Oreochromis niloticus: one gene and its partners. The protein of the gene in region 2 purifies or fractionates together with the protein of the main gene of each other region. This does not show direct contact. Links are inferred from orthologs where the notes say so. Each region holds a gene or a part of one and is shown on either strand. Other genes may lie near its edges.

The links.
Region 1: the proteins of slbp (region 2) and ctif purify together in Homo sapiens (affinity purification with western blotting; 3 studies listed by BioGRID). This does not show direct contact. The link is inferred for Oreochromis niloticus from reciprocal best matches to the Homo sapiens genes SLBP and CTIF.
Region 3: the proteins of slbp (region 2) and mif4gdb purify together in Homo sapiens (affinity purification with western blotting; 3 studies listed by BioGRID and IntAct, with this or other methods). This does not show direct contact. The link is inferred for Oreochromis niloticus from reciprocal best matches to the Homo sapiens genes SLBP and MIF4GD.

Annotation. Positions count from the first base shown.
Region 1 is NC_031972.2:18,391,382-18,398,429, forward strand, and holds the start of ctif (CBP80/20-dependent translation initiation factor), read right to left. Parts: upstream 3,037-7,048; 5' UTR 2,829-3,036; intron 1-2,828. UniProt on the Homo sapiens protein: Specifically required for the pioneer round of mRNA translation mediated by the cap-binding complex (CBC), that takes place during or right after mRNA export via the nuclear pore complex (NPC).
Region 2 is NC_031966.2:2,146,453-2,153,943, reverse strand, and holds the start of slbp (histone RNA hairpin-binding protein), read left to right. Parts: upstream 1-4,414; 5' UTR 4,415-4,776; coding exon 4,777-4,835; intron 4,836-5,076; exon of another isoform or gene 5,077-5,201; coding exon of another isoform or gene 5,202-5,221; intron 5,222-5,783; coding exon 5,784-5,927; intron 5,928-6,455; coding exon 6,456-6,569; intron 6,570-6,675; coding exon 6,676-6,747; intron 6,748-7,479; coding exon 7,480-7,491. UniProt on the Homo sapiens protein: RNA-binding protein involved in the histone pre-mRNA processing.
Region 3 is NC_031969.2:17,398,660-17,405,614, forward strand, and holds the start of mif4gdb (MIF4G domain-containing protein B), read right to left. Parts: upstream 3,073-6,955; 5' UTR 2,920-3,072; intron 2,345-2,919; 5' UTR 2,305-2,344; coding exon 2,226-2,304; intron 2,141-2,225; coding exon 2,031-2,140; intron 1,934-2,030; coding exon 1,778-1,933; intron 1,251-1,777; coding exon 1,158-1,250; intron 177-1,157; coding exon 1-176. Other genes in the region: slc25a19 (mitochondrial thiamine pyrophosphate carrier), read left to right, coding at 4,664-4,795, 5,062-5,217, 5,317-5,487, 6,569-6,749, 6,836-6,955. UniProt on the Homo sapiens protein: Functions in replication-dependent translation of histone mRNAs which differ from other eukaryotic mRNAs in that they do not end with a poly-A tail but a stem-loop. May participate in circularizing those mRNAs specifically enhancing their translation.

The DNA of each region.
Region 1 (7,048 bases), on a different chromosome or scaffold from region 2:
CAAAATATAAAAATATTCAGTTTTTTCCCTCTTATGTGTACTTACAAGTGTGCGATTAGAACGACCTGAATCCAGTGGAAGAGACTAACAGAAAAAAGTGTGCACATGTCACACGAGAGGGGAGGTACAATGGTGTGTGTGTATACTTAAAACAATAGCCTCATTGTCCTCTTTTGTCCCTCTTTGTCCCTGTACTGACCAAACGGGAATGGACTGGGCATGTGCAGTACTGCAGAACTGCTGGGATTGAAGCTCCACATTGCTATGCTCTTCTGTCCGGACACACGAGCGTGGAGGTGTGACAAACAAATGAGGGCATGCTGACCTGCTCACAGGTTTCCTAACATGTATGGAGGGTAGATAACAGTCCTGAGACCTCAAAGGTGAACAGCAACCAAAAGTCAAAAGACAGGCACAAAGGTGAGTGTTCAACAGAGCTGTGGTTATTATTGGTCAGGGCTGAGATGATGACAAAACTGCTGACAAAAAGATCAACCACACAAACAACACAACTAGTAGCAGCACAATGGCTTACTGCAAAAACAGAGTATATAACATGTTGGAGCTCCGTCATCTCTCACAGAACTGCTGTATGTTTCTCTGATTCATCAACCGTGTAATCACTCTATCCTCACTTTCTCATTTTCCACTCACTCATCCGTTCCAGAGAAGCAATGTAATGAGGAGCAGCCCCCACTGAAACAAGGCTAGATCTCTGCTTCACAGCCTGACTCAGGATGATCCATTTTTGTGCAGGCAGCTCCCACTCTCTCCGTAACATTGCTGCTATATTTGCACCTCCTCCACACTCTTCAAAGCGCTACACGCACATACAGGGAACCAGGTCTACATCATGACCCTAAACACCAGCTCATTTTCTAATGCTTACGTTGACATACAACACAGAGGTAAGAGTTACCTGCTGCTATGGAAATTAACCCTGGCATCACTGGTGAGATCGGCCTTTCATTATTGTCTTTTCTCTTTTTTTGTCCCTGTATGGTCTCCCAGGACAGAGTTCACAATAACGATCGTTCATCACGTTAATGCAGGATTCGCATGCGCCATGACAACAGATCACAGGGGGTGATGATGGTGCACTGACTCTTAGATTAGTATGAATGAAACTTTTTTTCAGGCCACATTTACACATCAGCAAAACTCAGTTTTATATTAATGTGAGAGCAATCTAACTACACAACATATCACAAAGTGAAAAAGCAACTGGATGGATATTTCTAATATTTCCTCACTGTAGCAATGTGTATTAAGAATCCACAGTATCCTTTATTGAGCATATGTGGGGCACATAGTGTATCAGATGTTTCTTTTTCTTGATCAGCTATTTGATGATAGTAATATAGGCATATTATCAAAGTTCAATTTCATACATATCCTTGAATTCCCTGGAACTGTAGGCAAATCTCAACCAAGTATGTCTTTGCTCATGTACTATCAGATCATGGCCAAATCATAATTGACTGAACTATCTTCACAACAGCTAAATGTTACCAAATGGGTGGACTTTACATTAGCTAAAAGGAACATGGTCTAAATGTCTCTCTACAATATGTACAGAATGAGAAAGTGGCTGAACCTGACTGACCACTTGGCATTCTAATGAAATAGCATATGTCTCCTGAGTGATCACAGTAATGTGACAAGGTAAATACACTGCAGAGACATCCTTTCATCACTGCAGACAATCTTTTTTAAAATTCTCTATTAATAATACCACCTGTATAATGCAATCATGCAAAATAGGTCTAGCTTCTAGGTCTGCATTAAAAAGGTTAGCTTTTTCTCTGCTTTTTGACTTGTAGCAGCATGCAAACATTCCTTAAATCACTAAAGTCACTCTGATCCGATCAGTCCCCAAACAGCTGGAATCCCAGGAATGCCATGCGCAAACTTCACCGAAGTGTGAGCTAAAGAGCAACAGTCAGGTCGGCTAGGGATCAAAATATTAAGTCTGCCAAGTTTTCTCATTAACGACTGCATGATTAATGAATAACATGTAACACATTCATCATTGGAGTATGAGCTAATGTTTATGTTAAAATATATTTAGACAGAAGTTCCAAATCTGTCAGAAATGTTGATCTGCCTCTGTCCTGCCACAGTCGCAGCTGTGATGATCCACTCTTTGTTGTGAGGGTCAACAGCTGAGACAGTGTGCTGCTCTGCAGCTAGCTCAGCACAGCTGATTGACTTTAACGCTTTAAGCGACTGTTCCCATCATTCTTGTCAAGCAAGTATGACGCAACGTTACAGAAACCGAAGGAACACTAACAACCTGTGCCACTATAGCTTAAGCTATTTTTTTTTTATTTAGCATTTATAACCACGCCCATGCTGTCTGTGATGCTAGTACCGTGTGTACCAGGGTCAGTGAACAGATACATGACGGTTCGTTTACGCCAGAGGTTTTGAAACAGCTGCACACCATTGTCCCTGTTAAGGTAACAAAGCCACATCTGGGGGCACTTCCACGCCCTGGTGTGTGTGTCTGTGTGTCTGCGTGTGCCCGCGTATCGCCGGTAACAATGGTGACGCAAGCTTTGCGGCTAACCAGCCGGCTAGCGTTAGCCCTTAGGAGCAGTAACCGAAAGGCTATAAATTACAAATTCAAACAAGTCTCCGTCAACTCTGTCGTATCAACAAGTCTGCTGGTGGAGGCTTAACCAATCCCAGCATAACCAAGTCACTCACTGAGACAACTCGCAGCAAATCCAGCGCATCTCTTAAAACTGTTATCTGGTTACAACGGTTGAAACGCTCCAACCGAAAAACACCTTCAGTTGTCTTAAAACGAAATAAATCCTCACCCGAAGTGAAATGCGAACTCCTGGCGAACCTGGGGTCGCCTCCAGAGATTAAATCCGCCGTGTCATGGGTGTGTTTCTCTAAAAGAAAGCGAGGGGGGAAGAGGATTAGCTATCCAGTGGCAACTCCGACGTCCCACACTAAGGGAAAAGGGAATGCAGGAATGTGACGTTCAGTCCGGTCTGCTGGCATCATTGACACGTGCACTCAAGAGCGGAGCACTGTGGGAAATAGAGTGCAGTTAAGTAACAGATTGTTACGGGCTTATTACTAGCGTATTAGTCGTTATCCACAATTTCCATACCCAGTGAATCTCTGTGCTACTTACAGAAAACATATAACCCTTAAATTATTACAGCCCTTAGATATAACAATTGAAGTTTGGTTCCAACACTGCAAAAAAGTAAGTTCTTTGAGTTAAGATTGTGGGTTATTCCATCAAAGTTTCAAATTTTTATGTCATGTTATGTTACGTCAAATCTGGAAATAACATCTCGAATCTTTGAGTTATTAAGTCAGAATTTCCAGATAATTACTCACAACTAACATAAACTTTCAATAGACCAAATTTTTATTTTTATTTTTAATTGTTGTTTATTTATTTTCCCCCAGTGGCATACATTAACCTCCTATAAATGTCCTATAAATGTTTTAATTATTATATAATTACTTTTAGAGAATTATTTTAACCAGGGTAATTGATGATCCAAAAATATATATATATATACACACATCTAACAGAGGTAAATCACTGCTACTACCTAATTCTGTTAATAAAAATACAAATAGCATTCTGATTTTTTTTTCAGATTTGTTTTTTTAGTTATTAATACAAAAAAATCTTTTAAATTGGCCATATTATGCACATCATTATTTATTTAGCACGGTCCACTAAAATAGGTTTACATGCTACACTGTTCAAAATAAATTCCAGTTACTTTTTTTACATAACACTAAATTTCACTCTCTTTAAGGCTACCCTCCCAGTCTGCTCTCAGTGGTCAGTTAGCCATACAAAAATAAGTCACTGGTCACCTATTTTACTTTATAGTTGGTGCTGGATTCAATCAAAGAGCAAGGGATACCCACTGAATGAGTTCTGGGCATGCTGAATTCTTCTGTGGTGGGTTGTTTTGCTTTGTGAATCCAATACTTGCCTGTTCCAGAAGAAATTCTGTTCTGTAATTAGTTCGGGTGGCCCAGTGCGGACACCTAAAATAACTGCCATCCAAAAAAAACCCAAACTGATAATCGCACAGTTTATATACTTCTAAGTTCAACCCTCTATGCTCAACCAGAATTGGATCGGGGACAGGACAGACTCCCGTAAAAGCTGTTTTGTTACACAGTGCACAATGCTTTCAGATAATGGCTTAACCATTTCTGTAATTACTTGCATGCTGAACTTTTGTTCCTCAGAGTTGTTTGTTCGTCTATCAACAACATACCCAAAAAGCCACCCTGACAAATTTTTGGTTAAACTTTCAGAGCGCTGGAAATGAAACAAGACGAAAGAAGGATTCTGTTATAATTGAGTCAAGATCCAACTCTTTTTTTAAACTGAGAAATTTGGCAAAATATGTTCTCTTTTCTTAACTTGTATCTTCTGGGAATGTTAAACAAAGGCCGGGTGATTTTAACCAACACAGACTATGATTTTTAGCCTTACAAGTTCCAAATGGCCCCAGGGTCAAATGATCAAAGCTAAAGGTGACATTAGGCTCATTCGCTCACTAAGGGTTTTCCTTTTGCTTTGGGGATGGTGCCATTAAATGAATATAATAAACAGGGACTTTAGCTCTGCAGTTGCAGGAAGTGGGCGAAGACTCTTGTATTTGCTCTTGCAGCGAGCAACAGAGCAGCTTTTAGTTAGAGAAGGGACCGTTAGGCTGCTGCTTTCTCCTTTTTGGTTGTTAGGTAAGCATCATGCAAATGTATCACACAGTGAGGAAGATAAGCACTGAAGAAAGTCTAGCCCTGCAGAAAAAGGTGTTTCAGGCTGTCGAGCGGCACGGTTTTCTGCCAGAGAGAATTACTCAATTTGAAGTGGACTTTGAAACTTTGCAGCCCTCCAACAAAAACAGTTACATAAGACACCAAAGCAACAAAGGAAGAGTAAATAAGCATTATAATACTCTAAAGAATCCCCCTTTTGTTTCTCAACTTGTTAGAAGCGCATAAATAAATTAAATAAGAGCAGAATACACATTTAATGTAACCACAAACTGAATAAACTCAGTGCAGATACATTTCTATTACAGTTTAACAAGCTAGTGCATTAGGATTAGTGGTGATTTTAAAAGCTGGTGAAATTTTTTATTATGGGGTCACAAAAGAGAGTGGCACCATTTGTTCATTACCTGAACAGGAGTAGTATGATAGTCCTGAGAGTTACTGTCAGTGCAAGTTATTATAGTGTAACACTGCAGTTATTCTGGTTGCCAATAAATCACCTGCTAAGTCCAAAGCAGAACAAAAGAACTGCAGGTTGCAGCTGATCAGGCTCTTAACTATGAGTTTTCCAAATCATATAAAAATATTCAAAAGCTAATTTTGGCCATTTCATGAAGTTGTGTTGATTGTGGCTCATAGAAATGGATCAAATTAGAACTTCATGTGTTTTAATGGCGTGAGGTCAATCACAATACCCTACTATTGAATATCTCTTATAGCCAATATAGTGACTTTACCTGTTAAAGATTCTGTACCAATTTCAGGGTGTCTGACACCTTTTTATTTATTTTACTCAATAAATAAGTAAAGGAGATTGTAGAAGGTGGATATTTACTCATTTAATACCTTTTTTTGTTCCGAAACACATTGCACACTTCTTAATGTAGCATTTTTACTACACTTTTGATACAGTCACATGTTCTATATTTCTGGATTCAGCACAGTTACACCTTTCCAACAAAACATGGTTGATGTTTCTGGGATAGTCCCAGAAAAAAATGTTGAATTGTACAATCAGAGCTTCCATTATAAGATCACTAAAGTCCTTATGTATCATTTCCCACTTAGCTTGGCATTATTTTGCACTTTCTTTTAATTAAACATTCTACAGCCTTTCCATTTAACCACATATGGTGTAAATGTTTTCTATTCAAGGATCTGTTTCATTTAAGGGAGGCTTTAGAGAATTTGCTGTACTTTCTTTTTTCACTGGAAGGTGTATCCCAAAAACTAAAGCTGTTTTGAATGTCTTCTTTCTAGCTTAAACAGTTAATATCAGACACACAGAGAGACTTTCACAGAAACCAACACTCTTTTATTTATTATCTGAAAAGTTGTCTTTACTTAGCTTTTTGGGGGTTTGTTTTGCTACTTATATTTGTCGTTGCAGTGCTCATAACCTTTTCAAAATTCCAGTCTCAGATGTAAAACGTGTGTGAACAAAAGTGAACTACTCATCTCTTTCTAAATGTTTGCTCCTCTTTTACATTGGAATATTTGTTGCTATTAGTTGAGCAATCAGCATTGATTTATGGGGATCTTAGGCGTGAATGCAGCTTGGATATGGAATCATAATTGATTATCTTATGTGAATCTGCTTTTGTTATACCGCCAGGCAAAAACCATCCAAATACAAAAGAATCCCACAGTCTGGTTGCACCTGCACACAGACACAAATGACTGCAGAGAAGGGCTAGAAACACTGGAAAAAGTCTTTTTAGTGTAATCATGACCCCTTGTGGAAAAAGAAGAAAGTGCAGCTGGAGCAATCGGCTACTCCTTTGTCAGGGTTTTGTGTGCGTTTGAGTGTGACGTTAGATGTGTACATTTTATGAATATGTAGCCGTACAACAGGGATTCATCAGGGTCTTTAGTCAATATGGTACACAGTTGGAGGAGAGAGCCAAAACAGTCTGACTGTCAGTTAGATCTGCATATAGTTAGACACACGGGAAACAGACAGATGGAAGAATAAGCAATACAAAAATAGATAAAGTGTTAAAAGGAGGATGTATGAATCTGAGCTGTGGATAGGTAGACAGACAGCCGAGTGGAAAAAGTGCCCTCTCTGTTCCAGATGGCTGCTAGTCAGAGGCTAATTAATTGGCGTGATGGAGATTGCAGCAGGTCATTACACCCCTCCAGACCCTTTCTTCTTCTGTTGCTTCCTTTTCTTAGTCTCTGGTTTCTTCTCACTCACTCTCTCAGTGCTATGCATATCCTTAACTGTCCCATAATTACTTTGTTGTCCTCTCCGCATCAGCCACAG
Region 2 (7,491 bases):
CCTATCACAGCACATCTTGGACAGGTCACCAGTCATGTGTGTGTTTGTGTGTGTGTAGGCATGTATGTGTATTACCAATCAGGCCTCGCTCTACATCAGGATCTTTCAGTATCTCTGGGATGTTGTGATCCATACTAGACAAAGCTGTGAAAGGACAAAGCACAAACATGAATTCAAGGCACAAAAAGGTCCCATTTATTTCAGAATTCACTCACCAACATTTCTGTTGTCACAGAATGTCTATATTAGAAATCATTTGTCAGTGATGTGAATATGAACCCACGGTATGAACTCACAATATTTTTATGAACAGCTGACATCTAAAAATGCTCCCTGCTATACTGTGTCAGCAATGCCAAGTGTCTCTTTGCTTCCTCTGTATCACACTATAGTTCAGCCACAACGCTCTCTGCTGTCCATTGTGTCTAAATGCCAAACTCTGTGACAGTGCTCACCCATGTTTGCTTCAGTGGGGACAGTCTGTGAACTTTCTGACAGATCGTCATATTTAAAGCCTTCAACAATAACGTAAACACAACCCAACAACAGAAGGTACATATTCCAATTTCATTTGTCTGACGGTGTAAAAGTGTATCCATGCACTGTTTTCTTGAGTCTGTGCTCTTCTTCTAGACATGGAAAACATGCTAACATCTTCCTGTTTCCAACATCGGCAATGACCTAATGGAGTCACCACAGTCAGCTCAACAAAGGCTAGTTAGGGCCAGCAGATGTTTTATTTCCAGCCACTGTACACTTACTCATCAAAACTGTGTCCAGGCGTCCATCTTTGGGGCATCTCGGCTCAACAGAAGAACTTCTCTGGGGAATACCGACTGACTTTTTCCCCGCAAAAGAAGAAACGCTTCATGTTAGCGTTGACACACCGCTGCTATCCGCACTTGACTATGGCTAACGTTTCCCCTCACTGGATGAGCCAGCCAACTATCTTATTATTGACTTACTCCTTTTCTAAAGACGTTCCCGTTAATCCACGAAGGAAGTGTTCAAAATAGCATCTGAATGGCAGAAGCCTGGGAAGACAGGATGTAGCTGCAGCCAATCAGGAGAAAGCGTCGCCAGTTGTTATGGTAAACAAGAAGCGGCGAATTGGTGCCTCTTGCGCCTGCGTCACTTTTGCACCTCAATAAGAGGATACTTCCGCATTTTACAGACATAATTAAAATAATGGGCTGTTTACACTGTAACTACTGTATAAAAAAACAACGATCACATTAAACAGCATATTACCTCATTTATCCTGAAAACACAATCATGATGTAAACGATCCTTAAAAAAAGGAAAGAAAAAAATCACTGGTAAGTTATGTTCAGCAAAGTTAGTTAATTTACATAATGCATAAGATTAAAATATATAATATTTTAATTTGTATTCAAGATTTTTCCCCGTCATTTTTAATACAGTGGCCAAAATGGACATTGCCGGCCACATCTGCAGTAGGCCTTATAAGTTATTTACAATTTAAACATTAATGCTCATTAATGCTATACGTGACAATTTAACATTTGAAGATTTATAGATTTCATCATCGGTTTCTCATTCTGTTTTTTCCTCCTCCGTCTCTGCCCTCCCACCTCCTTCATTCTTCTTCTTCCTCACCTCAAGCCTCCTCTTTTTAATTAAAGTCAAGGCTCTAACACAGGAAAAACATGCATGAACATGCTTTTTATTCTCTGGACAGCTGACAACGTGACGGCTAAATAACAACAACAGGTGGTTATAAGGTAACATTATGTCAGCTAGCTAGCTCCTAAGCGTCACACTTTCCCTTTGATAAACAGTCCTGACTTCATATAAGAGTTTATTGACCGTTGAGGTAAATGGCGGACTGACAGCCTGGACTTACTGCAGATTTGATTGTCCTACAGCAGCCACCGTACCTATGATTATGCAGTTGAGTCGTGATCGGTAAGAAAACAGGTGACGACAATCTGTGTTGTTCAGTGGTGCATTATGGGTAATCTCAGTCTCTCACTGAACGTGCTCCTGTGATGAGCCAGCACATCATTGAGTGGGTGGGAGGTATTATCCACCTCTCAGACACCACCCTAAGGGAGTCCAGCTCCGTCCCCACAACATTACTGGCCTTGTGGATCAGTTTATTGAGTCTGTTGGCATCTGTGACCCTCCACCTGCTGCCCCAGCATGGCACTGGCCACAACAGACTGGTAAAAAGTCCTGAAAATTGTAATACTCATTCATAGACCTGATGCAGTAGCACCGCTATCATGAAGATGATGGCCTCAGCAGGACACCGCACAATCAACTCCCGCCTCACTACCTCCAAATCAAACAAAAAAACTTCTGTGGCAAGAAACTTCAGAGAAGTTGTCAGGCCAGTTTTCCCAAGCCTTTCTGCCCAGACAGAGTGTGCAGATGGAATACACTTGTTGATGTCTGCAAAGTTAAGGACAATAGTAAATCAAATGGAAAGGGAACAGTTCTTTTCCAGTTTTTTAGTGAAATGGACAGTCTCCTTGTGGCCAATACAACATTGCATTCCCTTTTATTTGAACCTCAAATGGTGTTGAGGTATGCAAACCAGAGGCTCTGGAACCCAGTATTGGTACAGAGCCCAGCCAGCACCACAAGCACATCCATGTAAACACCAGTACCTCCCAGGAAAAGGGGGGGAGCTTACAAAAGCAATGTCTCCAGGAGGCTGAGTCAGCAGCGCTATGACAAAACTCTGTGACAAGCTGTGGTCAACAACACTGGGCTCTGTGGTTTTAAATGTTCCAAGCTACCGTGGTTTGCAGACATTCACTGTAACGGTTTATAGTAGTGCAGACACCTGTGTGTTTTGGATCTGTCTTTTTTAGATACTATTTAAATCAGTATTTCTGTGTGCTTATTTAACAGCTCATGTGCACATAAATAAAAACAATGTTGAGTTAAAAGAGTTTTTATTTCATTTCCAGTCTTACCTCAGAGTTGCTTGGATTTAGGGAAAAATTTATAGACATAATTAAGTTACTTAAAGGGAATGCATCTGAAGACTCCAGTTTGGTGCTGGCCACTTTCCAAAACTGCAGTAAAAGCTATAAACAAGGCTAATTTATATTTAGAAAAATGCACTACATTAGAAAAGCAATAATAAATAAAGAGTATAAATAGAGGAATGAAAGTCATTATTCTCGAGTGCATTAATGTTACCATTCAAATAAAATGGCTAAGATATTTAAAAAAACAGATAGCTTTATGTTTAATATCACTAACCGAATATTTAAGAAGCCGTGGGTCATGAGTTTTCTTCTAAGATGTGATTGTGACAGAAAAACACAAAGACTAATTTCATTCATAATTATTATACTGAAATTGTCTACAAGCAACTTCAGCCCTCATAATACACCACTGAGGAACAGTAGATATTAGGTATCTCCAAAAGTTGATTCTGTTCATCTGGACGTAGCGTTTTGTGGGAGAAACGTTTCGTCACTCATCCAAGTGACTTCTTCAGTCTCAGCTGACTGCAGGTTTCCCCAAACCTTATAAACAGTACATTTGCATAATGACTGAAACCAGCCCACTGAGGGAACAATGGGCTGTGAGGTCAGTTCCTTAATCATAATTATGCAAATTCCCATGACCATTGATCAACAATCACTGACCAAAACCCACTGATCAAAGAACACTGATCAATGGCCATGAGTACCATTCACAGAGAGTTGGGGAATGGCTGCAATCACAGCATTGTAAGATGGCGAAAGATGTACCCTTAGGCCCCCTCCTCGATTCAGAGATGGTCTTTCCCTTTTCACGTAGATATTAGGTATTTAGGAATATAGATTTATTGCTAAATAAACTGGCAGGAGAACAGAATATGGTCTATAATGTACCTATTAAATGACACTGGTAACATAACACCTTACAGGACCTTCTGCTCCAAATCTGATCATCAGAATCAGGGACTGCAGGACCTTATTGTTCTAAGTCCTTTTCCTTATGGCACAAAATGTAAAGTGACAACTTCCTGAGATTCTGGTGAATGCACATCTAATTGCGGGATTAAATATTTCTAATGTCACAACTGAGAAAGCTTTTACCGGAATGATATCAGCAGAATGGAGTTCCACCGGATCACAGCACTTAAATATAAGACAATGTACTTAGTTTTATGGGCTATGGGGGAAACTATTGTGATGCAGTCTCTCTACAGCATTACGAACTCTTCCACCATATGAACATGATATCTCTGTGGAAGGCTGAGACATGGACTAAACTGTGCTGCCACGTGCTTTTTATAAATGGCACATTCCGACATGAATCTAACTGGGATTCACAAACACGTCACTTTGGTCGTCACAGATTCAGCACAGAGAGAGAACACCTTTGGAGGACTCTGAGCGAACCGCGTCAAAAAGAAAAAAAAACGAAGCACTTAGACCCGCCCCTTCTCCGTCCACTGGCCGATCGAGCACATCCGCTCGGTCACAGTTAAACATCCTGGAGGAAGCTCAGAGAAGCTCAGAGGTCACAAGAAAGCCGCACGACTATTGCCAGAGGGGATACATATGGCGTTATTGGCACAAAAATAACACCATAGCTACAGTGTGAGCACGCGCTTTTAGCCCAGCACATATTCGACAGCTGTGGGCTTCCTGCGTTCCTACTTCCGGCCACGTGACCGAGTGGATCGTTTGAGGTCGCGCGTCTTTCAGAGTTGGCGCGTATCTTCAGACTGTGAGTGCTGTAAGTTCCCAGCTGAGCACCAAGAAGTCTTCTGCTACGCAGTCTTGTTTTTTAACCGAGAACATGTCTGACTGGACCAAAGAGCGGCGACGTGAGGATCACAGCATCGAGCACGAAAAGAGGTCTGTTTACATTCCCGCCTCAGTGTGTTATTCACAGCTAAACCTTTGTCTGTGCTCGTTAAATGGAAGCCACTGCGCCAGATTAGCTAAACCTTTGTGTGCAAAGATGATGTGGACATTTTGAAAGCTACAAAACATTTACTGTACCTGATGGACCTGCGTGACTCTAGTACACGCAGTGTTCTTGCTAGTATCTATGGTTACTTTCTTTTCTTTAAGCTCGTAGAAGCTAGCAGTCTGTAGCGAGTCTGTCGTGAACAGTGGACCTGACAGTCATGCTAGCTAACAGTGCGGGTAAAAAGGTGACGATAAGGCGTTAAACACAGACAACTGCTAAAGCTAACGCTTGAATACGTTGTGGACTGAATGCTAAATGTAACACACAAGTAAGTGGATGAAACGTGAAAGGTGGTTAACAGCTGTAGTTATAACGTGAATTAAAATATCTGATATTAGAATACGCGGTCCTAAGTGCCCTCCTCCAGGAAAAACAAGAGTCACAGATGGATGATGGTCCGAACAATCGGAAGAAGTTGGCGGGAGAAATTGTCTATTAAAGGAAATGTATGGCTCCAGTTTTACCCACTGTACTCAACTAATCATTTATTATTAAATAAAATTCACCTTCTCTAAACTTTAATCTGTCTAAGAAGGTTCAAAAGAAATCCCCGGAGCATTTTGAAGCAGTTAGTGCAGCTTTGCCATTGTGGAATACGGAGACGTGAAACCGTCATGAGTGTTTTCCTGTGTGGGACCGTGCGTCCCACCGTGTGTTTGCAGTTCTTGCACATATTTGCTGGTTTTGCATTTTTAACAGCCATGATTTTTTTTCCCTAATTTGACACAGAAGAGAATGTTTTTGAGAATTGTTTGCAGAAATCTGATATCAAAACAAGAATGAATTGGCATGTTTAAATCTACACGTTTTTTTTGTGTCTTCTTGTGTAGCTTTGGCCCATCTCGGTGGTCCCACTGCAGGAAGAGGGGCGTCAATGGGAGCCTGCGGAGCAACAGCGAGGCAGATGATATTGATAAAAGAAGGAACGGACACGCCGACTCCAGCTACAAACACCCTGATCGCAGACATGCTAGGTGAGAGTAAGCTCAGTTAATGTGGAAAGTGATAAATGTATATTAATGCAGGGAACTCATAACTGAAAAGCCATGAGGCGGCTGAAGCTTTGTGGATTTTTGGCATTTGTTGGGGAAATGTTTCAGTTTTAGTGTTTCAGACCCACACAGCTTTAATGGCCCTGTTCAAAGGTGCTTTGTCAAATGTAAACAGCGTGAGAATTTCATTGGTCTGTGTAGTTCACATCCAAACTCCAGTGTAGGCTCGAGAAGAAAAACAAGTTTGTTTGTTTGTTTTAAATTAAAATAAATAACACAGTGGTTGTAAAGTAATATTTGGTAAATTATTAGAATGATTTTAGTTTGAATGGTAGTGTTTTAAAAAAATCAAACTACATTATTGCTGAGTGAAGCCAGCCAGTCTCTGCTCATGAACCACTTTAAAAAAACAGCTTACTGACTCCATTACCAACATGTGGCCACAACATCTGCAGGAACTGTAGCAGTAACATCCCTGTGTGTGTGTAACCTGTGGTATTGTCCTCCTAGCTTTACTACTCCAGAGAGCACAGGTCCAGTGTCCCGCTGTGGTCAACAGGCTGACTGGGGCAGCCAGGTGGAGGACGATGAGATGAGGAGGGATGTGCACAGAGACATGCAGCGGTAATTAAACAGTTTCTACATTATTTCAGTTGTCTTTTTAAGCACCTGAAAGCAGAGACTGGCTTCCTGTTTTGGATTGCAGACTCACTGTTTGCACTGTGTTCAGTTACAGGAGGAGGATACTGGGGGCAGAATTCACCCAGAGGGAGAGAAGGGCCTCGTCTGGCTCTTCTGGAAGGTATCTCATTCTCTCACAGACCTTTCAACTCAGAATATTCATGAACTGATGGAACACTCACTTCTCAAACCACACATCCACCTGCAGCTATACAAGTGTGCAATTATTAACATTAAATAAGACGAGACAAAACGTATTCATCCCCAAAATAATGGAAACATGAAATAAAATCAACGCAGTATCACTGAACAAAGTGGCGAGTAAGGTAAAACAGATTGCACTAATGGAGCTCAGTTATATGGTAACAAAAGTAAAGTGCTCAGCATCAAAATATGATGTGATAAATATCATATCTGCTATGAGACGATGAGGGTTTTCTGTCCTTGTGACAGCGAGGCTGAAACACGACGACGTGTCAAATATGGCTTTAACTGCTGTTTCCCCAAATCCTGAACTGATCCAGTTTTGGTTTGTCAGAACTTTTCTAGTCTTACTGACATCTCAACACACTCCAGACTACTGTTACATAGTTACTGTTACGTAGTTACATTGTATTATATCATGTCATGGGCTTTGAACTCATTACTAATGTAGTTTTGTCCATTAAACAGTAACACAGGTTTGTTTAACATGACAATAACCTTTTCATTTTTCAACAACTTTGTGTTTACAATCATTTTAGAATAAAATCATTATGAAGGAAGTCGGGCTCTTTTCGTGATGAATGTTAGTTGTGCCTCTATTTTTGTATTGTGTGCATGTGAATGTGGACTAAATGTGTCTGTGCTTCAGCTGTGACTCCAG
Region 3 (6,955 bases), on a different chromosome or scaffold from region 2:
CAACCTCCGGCCCTGAATTCCAGGATCTCCAGCAGCAGCAGGCGGGCCATGGACGTGAGGCTCTCCTGGAGCAGAAAGCCGTCCCGCAGGAGGAAGAACAGGTCATTCATCCGCTGGCTGTCCGCCTTCTCCAGCTGCTCTCCGATGCGATGCAGCTGCACCACCAGACAGTCCACCTGTGGAGAAAGGTGGAGACGCCTCAGTAAAAACGAACGTCACACTAAAGGGGAGATTATGGTTTTGCGGTAGTTAGGGTAAACTGTCGGCAGCTATGGACTGCCCAGATGTGGGCAGTATAAATATTATGTGCTACAACAGATCTGTGGACTACACTTACATGTGCTGTTATTGGTCACCACCCAGCCACAGAGAAGAGTGAAGTTGAAGCCTACAAAGAGCTGAAGTAAAACTAAAAGAGGCCATTGCCTGTGTTTCTCATACTGCATTTTTTTTTTTTTTATCTTTGATGGGGTTTTTTGTGCTTCTCTGGCCCACTTTTCAACTAATCAACACAGTGTCATCCATGTCAAACAATGTGCAGTTAGGATGCTGGAGGATGGCATGGGTGCACATTTGCAGTGGTTGAAAATCTTCTGTGTAGGCGCTTCATAGGCAAATACGCACACAAGCGTGGTAGCATAAATTAAGAACTAAAAAGTATGCCTTTGCCACGTATCTGTATTATATAGAATTTAAAATTCAACTGAAATTAAGTTAAAAGTCATGAAATAATCTCTCTTTTTATACACACATATTTGTAAACATTTGTACACAACAATGTGGAGCCAAAAACTGACTGAGGTCTTCCTCAAAATTACAACCCTTTGGCTACTTTGTAGAAAAATGGCTATTAAAGTCTTTTTAACCTTTAAAATGAAAGGTGACTCTTCTACTATGCAGAAAAAAAGTGGAAGTTCATTGGCCAAAATGCAATTATGAAAGCTTCAGCAATCAATTGAGATGATTTAGTTTTTTTATTGGCCTTTTGGGATTTATATGCATTTGTAGTCAGACAAAAACACCCCGTGGAACAGGAGGTATATCGACTGACTATACAAAACAAACCCACTCCCCCAATCAGTCCTGAAAACCACTATAGCACTTTTACACTTATATGTAAATGACTGATAAATACTTTCTCCAGATATCTTCCTCACCTCATCCTCATTCATTAGAGCGTCTGGTTTGGCCAACCTCATCAGGCAGTCGTACACAGGATGAACCAGGGCCACCATCGGCATGTTGTTCACCTAAGAAACACAGTGTGGAGTCCTTACAGCAGCTAAGTATTATCAACATAACAGAAAAGGAAACTGTGGTAAGTCCTTGACTCTGATTTCTCTTACACAAAAGCCAGGATTGAGTAGTCTTCCAATAAGGATCACTCTGTTTAAAATGCCAGTGGCTCCAAGCATGGATGAAACCTGAGTGTGTTAGGACCACACCTTTCAGGCTCATCTTTACACTGCCAATGAATAAACCCCTTACTACATGAGACATGACCTAGATTTTAGAAGCAGCATAATTAGCATCTGTTCAAATTTTAGTGGTTGTTCCTGGACACTTAAATGTGCTGCAGTGAACATATTAGGACCCCAAAAATGCAGCTATAGGAGGTGTTCATCTGCAGTGTGGACACAGAAGAAGAAAAAAAAGCAGCATGTCCTCTTAATACGGGCAATGAAAAGGTTCCACTTTTAATCGGAGTGATTTAACAAAGCTGCTTTGTGTTTCCCCTTCCTAAATGTTAAAACTCAAAACTCTCTCTGGCTCTTACTTTGAGGTAGTCGAAGATGTTGCAGATGAACGTGACATAGCACATCCACTCCTGCAGAGAGCGTGCCCTCATCTCCTCGCGTTCTTTGAACTCCTGCTGGAGTCGGTTCAACAAGTGTCTCCTGAACACGTTTCCATTGTTCTGCTTGGCTTCAGCCTGCAGAAAGTGTCAAGCAAAGTGTCAGGCAGATAACAGTGGGAGGGTGGACAAAAAGTGGGAGCCTGAATGCAATATATAGCTGGGTCTTACTGACCTGCACTATAGTGTAGCAAATACGCCCAGCCTCTTTGCTGAACACGGTGTCCTTCAAAGACTGATCCACAATGATGTTGGATACTTTCTCCAGGTTCACCAGAGATGGATCTGAAAAAGAGAGCATTATGTTTAAGTGCTTTTTTTTTTTTAACAGCGTCCAAAAATGACACACATGAAGAAGTTAAAGGCTGACCTTTCAAGGCTGTTTTTAGTAACCTCTGCGTGTCCAGGTCAAATGACTGGATCCGGTAGTCTTCAGCAGAGTTTTCCATTACAGATGCAAGTAAACAAATTACACGGGAGGGCTGTCACCTGTGGAAATCAGACAGTTACTGCAGGTGTTTTCATGCAGAATATAAGCTTTTCAAAGACAGATCAAAAGGCCACAGCCGGAGACATCCGGGCACTTTTGGTGACCACAATACATGCAAAATCCTGTACAGTCATCAAATTGGCTGGCCCCCGGCCGCAGCTCATTCACTGAGGGATGGAGGGGATTATACAACCCAGGTCAACTAAAAAGTTCACCGAACACCCAACCAAGCACGAGCCAAGTTATCTTCAACTTGTGATGTGACACACCAATGTTACTTCCATATTCCATATTCAACTAGGTAACGTTAGTTTAGTGTAAGAACACGTAAAATTTCGTCTAACGGTAGCTTTGTTTTCAACATTAACAACAACCGTTACAGCTGTAGTGGAAACCAAACGTTAATGGCTAGCATTGACGCTAACGAATCAAAGTGGAGTTTAATACCCAGCCTACACTTGCGTTATAACCGCCCGCTGAAAGGTACAAACGGGTAAATACTTTCCCGAACTGAAAGAAAACGGTGGTTAAATAATTGACCAACAAATGGAGGATAATTATGTGACAATTATACCTATTTAATGCCAATTCGTCACATCTACGCTCAGGTAGAGGTATGCTCTGGTAGGCAGCCTTTCCTCGACGCAACCCCAACCTTTCGAAGATGAAGTATCAACAGAAAGATGAGTCCCTCCTTTCTCCTTTTCCTTCGCCGCAGACCCTATGGTCTTCACCTAACCCAAAGTTAACGTAAACGAAGCCCTTATTCTTGTACTTTCGACACCTGTCTACGCTATAGATGTCTTAAATAAAAGAGGATGTGAGTTTTAAGTAGTTGCTTGCTGAATTTGACACGGTGCAGTGAGGCAGGAACTTATCTTGACGTGATATTTCGTCTTGGAGAATCTCTTCCGACCCGGCAGTAATATTAGGAGCGTGCTAGCAAGTAGTAGAAACCTGTTCCTGTTCTACTAATTTTGAACTGTACTAGTTGAGGTTCACCGTTGGAGCTGATGTGGTATTTATGAAGGTACGGTGATATTTGTCTGCTTCTGTTACCATTATTGTCAAGTTAATCCCTGCTCTGTTCTTAGTTTATCTTAGCTTAGCTTAGCTAGTTCCAAGGTCTTATTATATGTCCTCCACATGTCTGTTTTTTTTTTCTTTTTAACTTTTCTGGTCTTTATGGCATTTTATGGTTGTGTTATAATTATATAAATGGTGACCATGGAAGAAAACGAGCCATTAACAGACACCTAACAAATGTCGAATGACATGGGTGGAGCTGTAAATGTAATGTCAAGGAAACAGCTGCTGGGAAAAAGTCTTGAGCCACCCCACGTTTCGTTTCTTTATATTTTACTTCGGAGGAGGCAGACATACTTGACATTTTTTCAGTGGTGTTATCAATAATTCCTCAAGGCTTATAAAATTTTGTTTGTTTGTTGAACCACTGAACACTAGCATATGAGTCATTCAGGCATAAAAGGGCACACGAATTAAGTTATCATCCAGTGTTGCGTATCCTTAAAACATTTGAGGAAACTGGACTGGTGGGTAGCAAATGAAAGCCATGTCCTTAAGAAATAGGAAAGACCGACACAGGGCACGAGATATCCAACTGGCCCTGCAGGTGATCCATCAACTTTTCACTGAAGTCTCCTTGTAAATAGTCTCAGTGTAAGGGTGAATGTCAAGAAGCCATGCTTAAGGAAGGGAGACAAGGAGAAAAGCCATCTGTAAAACATGGTGGAGGCTTTCAGAATGACAGTGATCCCAAACATGGATGGGGAACTTCTCCTGAAAACTACTTAAAGAAATTACAAGAAAGCTTTTCTAAGAGACTTCAGGCTGTAATGTATAAGAAAGGTGGTCATACCAAACATTGACTTTCAAGCTTGTTAGAACAGTAAAAAAAAATCTACAGAAAATATACTGCATTCCCATGTATGTTAGCATGTTTCAGTAAATTGCTGCACCCATTTCTCATTTTCATTGAAAAGTATATAGAAAAGAGGAGTTATATATTACTGTGTATTATTCCAAAGTCCATCCCCCAAAACCAAACTGGAGGTTTTATAACATCTAGCATGTAGCTGCTGTTATAAATATCAAAATACTCACTTTAATACAGTTTTGAAACACCTGTTCTTAAGATTATACATACAAAACAAGCTCCTATCATCCAACATGATGCAGTTAAGATTATCTTTATCTATTTAAACTTGAATTAAAGTTTGTTTTTAACTGTGTTAAACTGAACAAAGGGTTGGTCATTTGTTTCATTAGAGTTTCTAGAAACCTAAGGCTGTAGAGACATGGTGGGCTATGACCCTGGTGTCCAGAGTGCACCTCTGTCCCCAGAGGAGGCGGCCTTCGCTGGTTCAGCTGCCGGGATGGTCACCAGAGCCCTCATCAGTCCTTTTGACGTCATTAAAATCAGATTTCAGGTACTTGTTCTGGGACAGAAGTGAGAATTCATGTTGACTTTGAAGATTACAGTGAAGTAGCAGCTATGACCTTCAGTATTTTCTTCAGTAACTGCACATTTCAATTGGTGACTGTACTAAAAGCATGTGCAAACATTTGCATTCAGTACCACACTGTTCACACAGTAAAGTGTATTTGAAATAAAAACCTTAATCTCTTCACACAACTCTTGAAGCCTGATAGATGCAGGTTGTGTTGTGTTCTTATCTGTATTTCCCCCCTGTAGCTGCAGATCGAGCGCGTGTCTTCAAAAACACCAGAGGGGAAGTACTATGGGATATTTCAGGCAACACGCCGCATTCATTCAGAGGAGGGACTGTCTGCTTTCTGGAAGGGCCACATCCCGGCACAGCTCCTCTCCATCTGCTACGGAGCTGTCCAGGTACAAAGTGTGAACTGTGAACTGCAGGCTAAGCAGAACAATTATATTACTGTAAACAATCTCAACAACACAGTTGCTTTTATTGTGTCCAATTTGCAGTTTGCGAGTTTTGAGTTTCTGACAGAGTTGGTCCATGAGAAAACGCCGTATGACAGCCAGACAGCAGGCGTTCATTTCGTCTGTGGCGGCTTGGCAGCCTGCTCTGCCACAGTGGTTTGCCAGCCTCTGGACACACTGCGGACACGCTTTGCAGCTCAGGGAGAACCCAAGGTGGGACTAATCATTGCTGATCCTGTCGCTGTCAATGTTTGACAGAATTGTGAAAAATGTAAATAAAAACAGAATGCAATGACTTGCACATCTTATAAAGTCACATTTTTTCACTAAAGAGTACAGAAAATATAGTAAGTGTTTAAGCTGAGAAATTTTAAAGAAAAATGTTAAATCATTTTAAATTTGATAACAGAAACATATTTCATAACATATTGTTTACCACTTTGTAAGAGGCTGTTCAGGCTGTAATTGTCTGGGAACTGAAGAGACCAGCTGCTGGATTTTGTATGGATGGGAGCATATGTTGTTCTAAAACCTTTACATACAAATAGATGCAGTATTTAGTTTAGCATATGTCTTGCTGAAGTATGCAGGACCTTCGCTGAAAAAGACGTTGCCTAAGTGGAAACACATATCGCTCTACAACCTGTATATATTTTTTCAGCATCAGTGGCGCAGTTGTGGCAATTCCAGAGACACTAACGCACCGCCATACCAGAGGTGCAGACTTGTGAACTGAGCTCTGATAACAACGCAGATGGTGCCTCTGCTCTTTAGTCTGCAGAATGCAGCGTCAATATTTTCCAAAAAAAGTAAACCGTTTTGATTAGTCTGTCCAGAGAACAGGTTTTCCACTTTGCCAAAATCCATTTTAAATGAGCTTTGGTTCAGAGAAGAAGGTGGCATTTACATATGACTTTATCTTTGCACGATGGAGCTCTAACCTACATTTGTGGATCATGCAATGATTTCTGGAAGTGTTCCTGAGCCCATGCACTGATTTCCATGACAGAATCATGCCGCCCGAGGACCCGAAATGATCCCGGGCATCCAGTATTGATTTTTGCTCACTTGTCTGTTGAGGACAGAGATATCCAAATGTGTTTAATTAGGCGAATGTAGAAATATTTGAGGATTTGGACACAGGTTTTTGTTTCCCACACTACCAACAGCATTGAAGGCCGTTTCAAGTCTTACAACGATGAAATATTCATAAAGCATGTTAAATATTCTCTAATTCCTGCCTTAGGCAGAATCACTCACGGTATACTGCTGAAACCCAGTTTTATATTTCCAGGTGTACAGGAACCTGCGACATGCTGTGTCTACAATGTGGCGATCAGAAGGAACTCTAACATTTTACCGTGGCCTGTCACCAACGCTCTTGGCTGTGTTTCCTTACGCTGGCCTGCAGTTCTTCTTCTACAACATCTTTAAAAAGTTGTTGGCTCCACGACCCAAAGCTGGGAACTCGGGAGGTGAGTGGAAACTCTTAATTGTGCAGCGTTTACACATGCACAGGGTTGAGTTTAAAATCCTGTCACTTTTTATGTTCATGTTCAAGGAAACTTAAAAAGTCTGGTCTGTGGGAGTGGAGCTGGAATGATCAGCAAAACAATCACGTACCCCTTCGATCTGTTCAAGAAGAGACTGCAGGTGGGGGGCTTTGAAGCAGCCAGAGCTC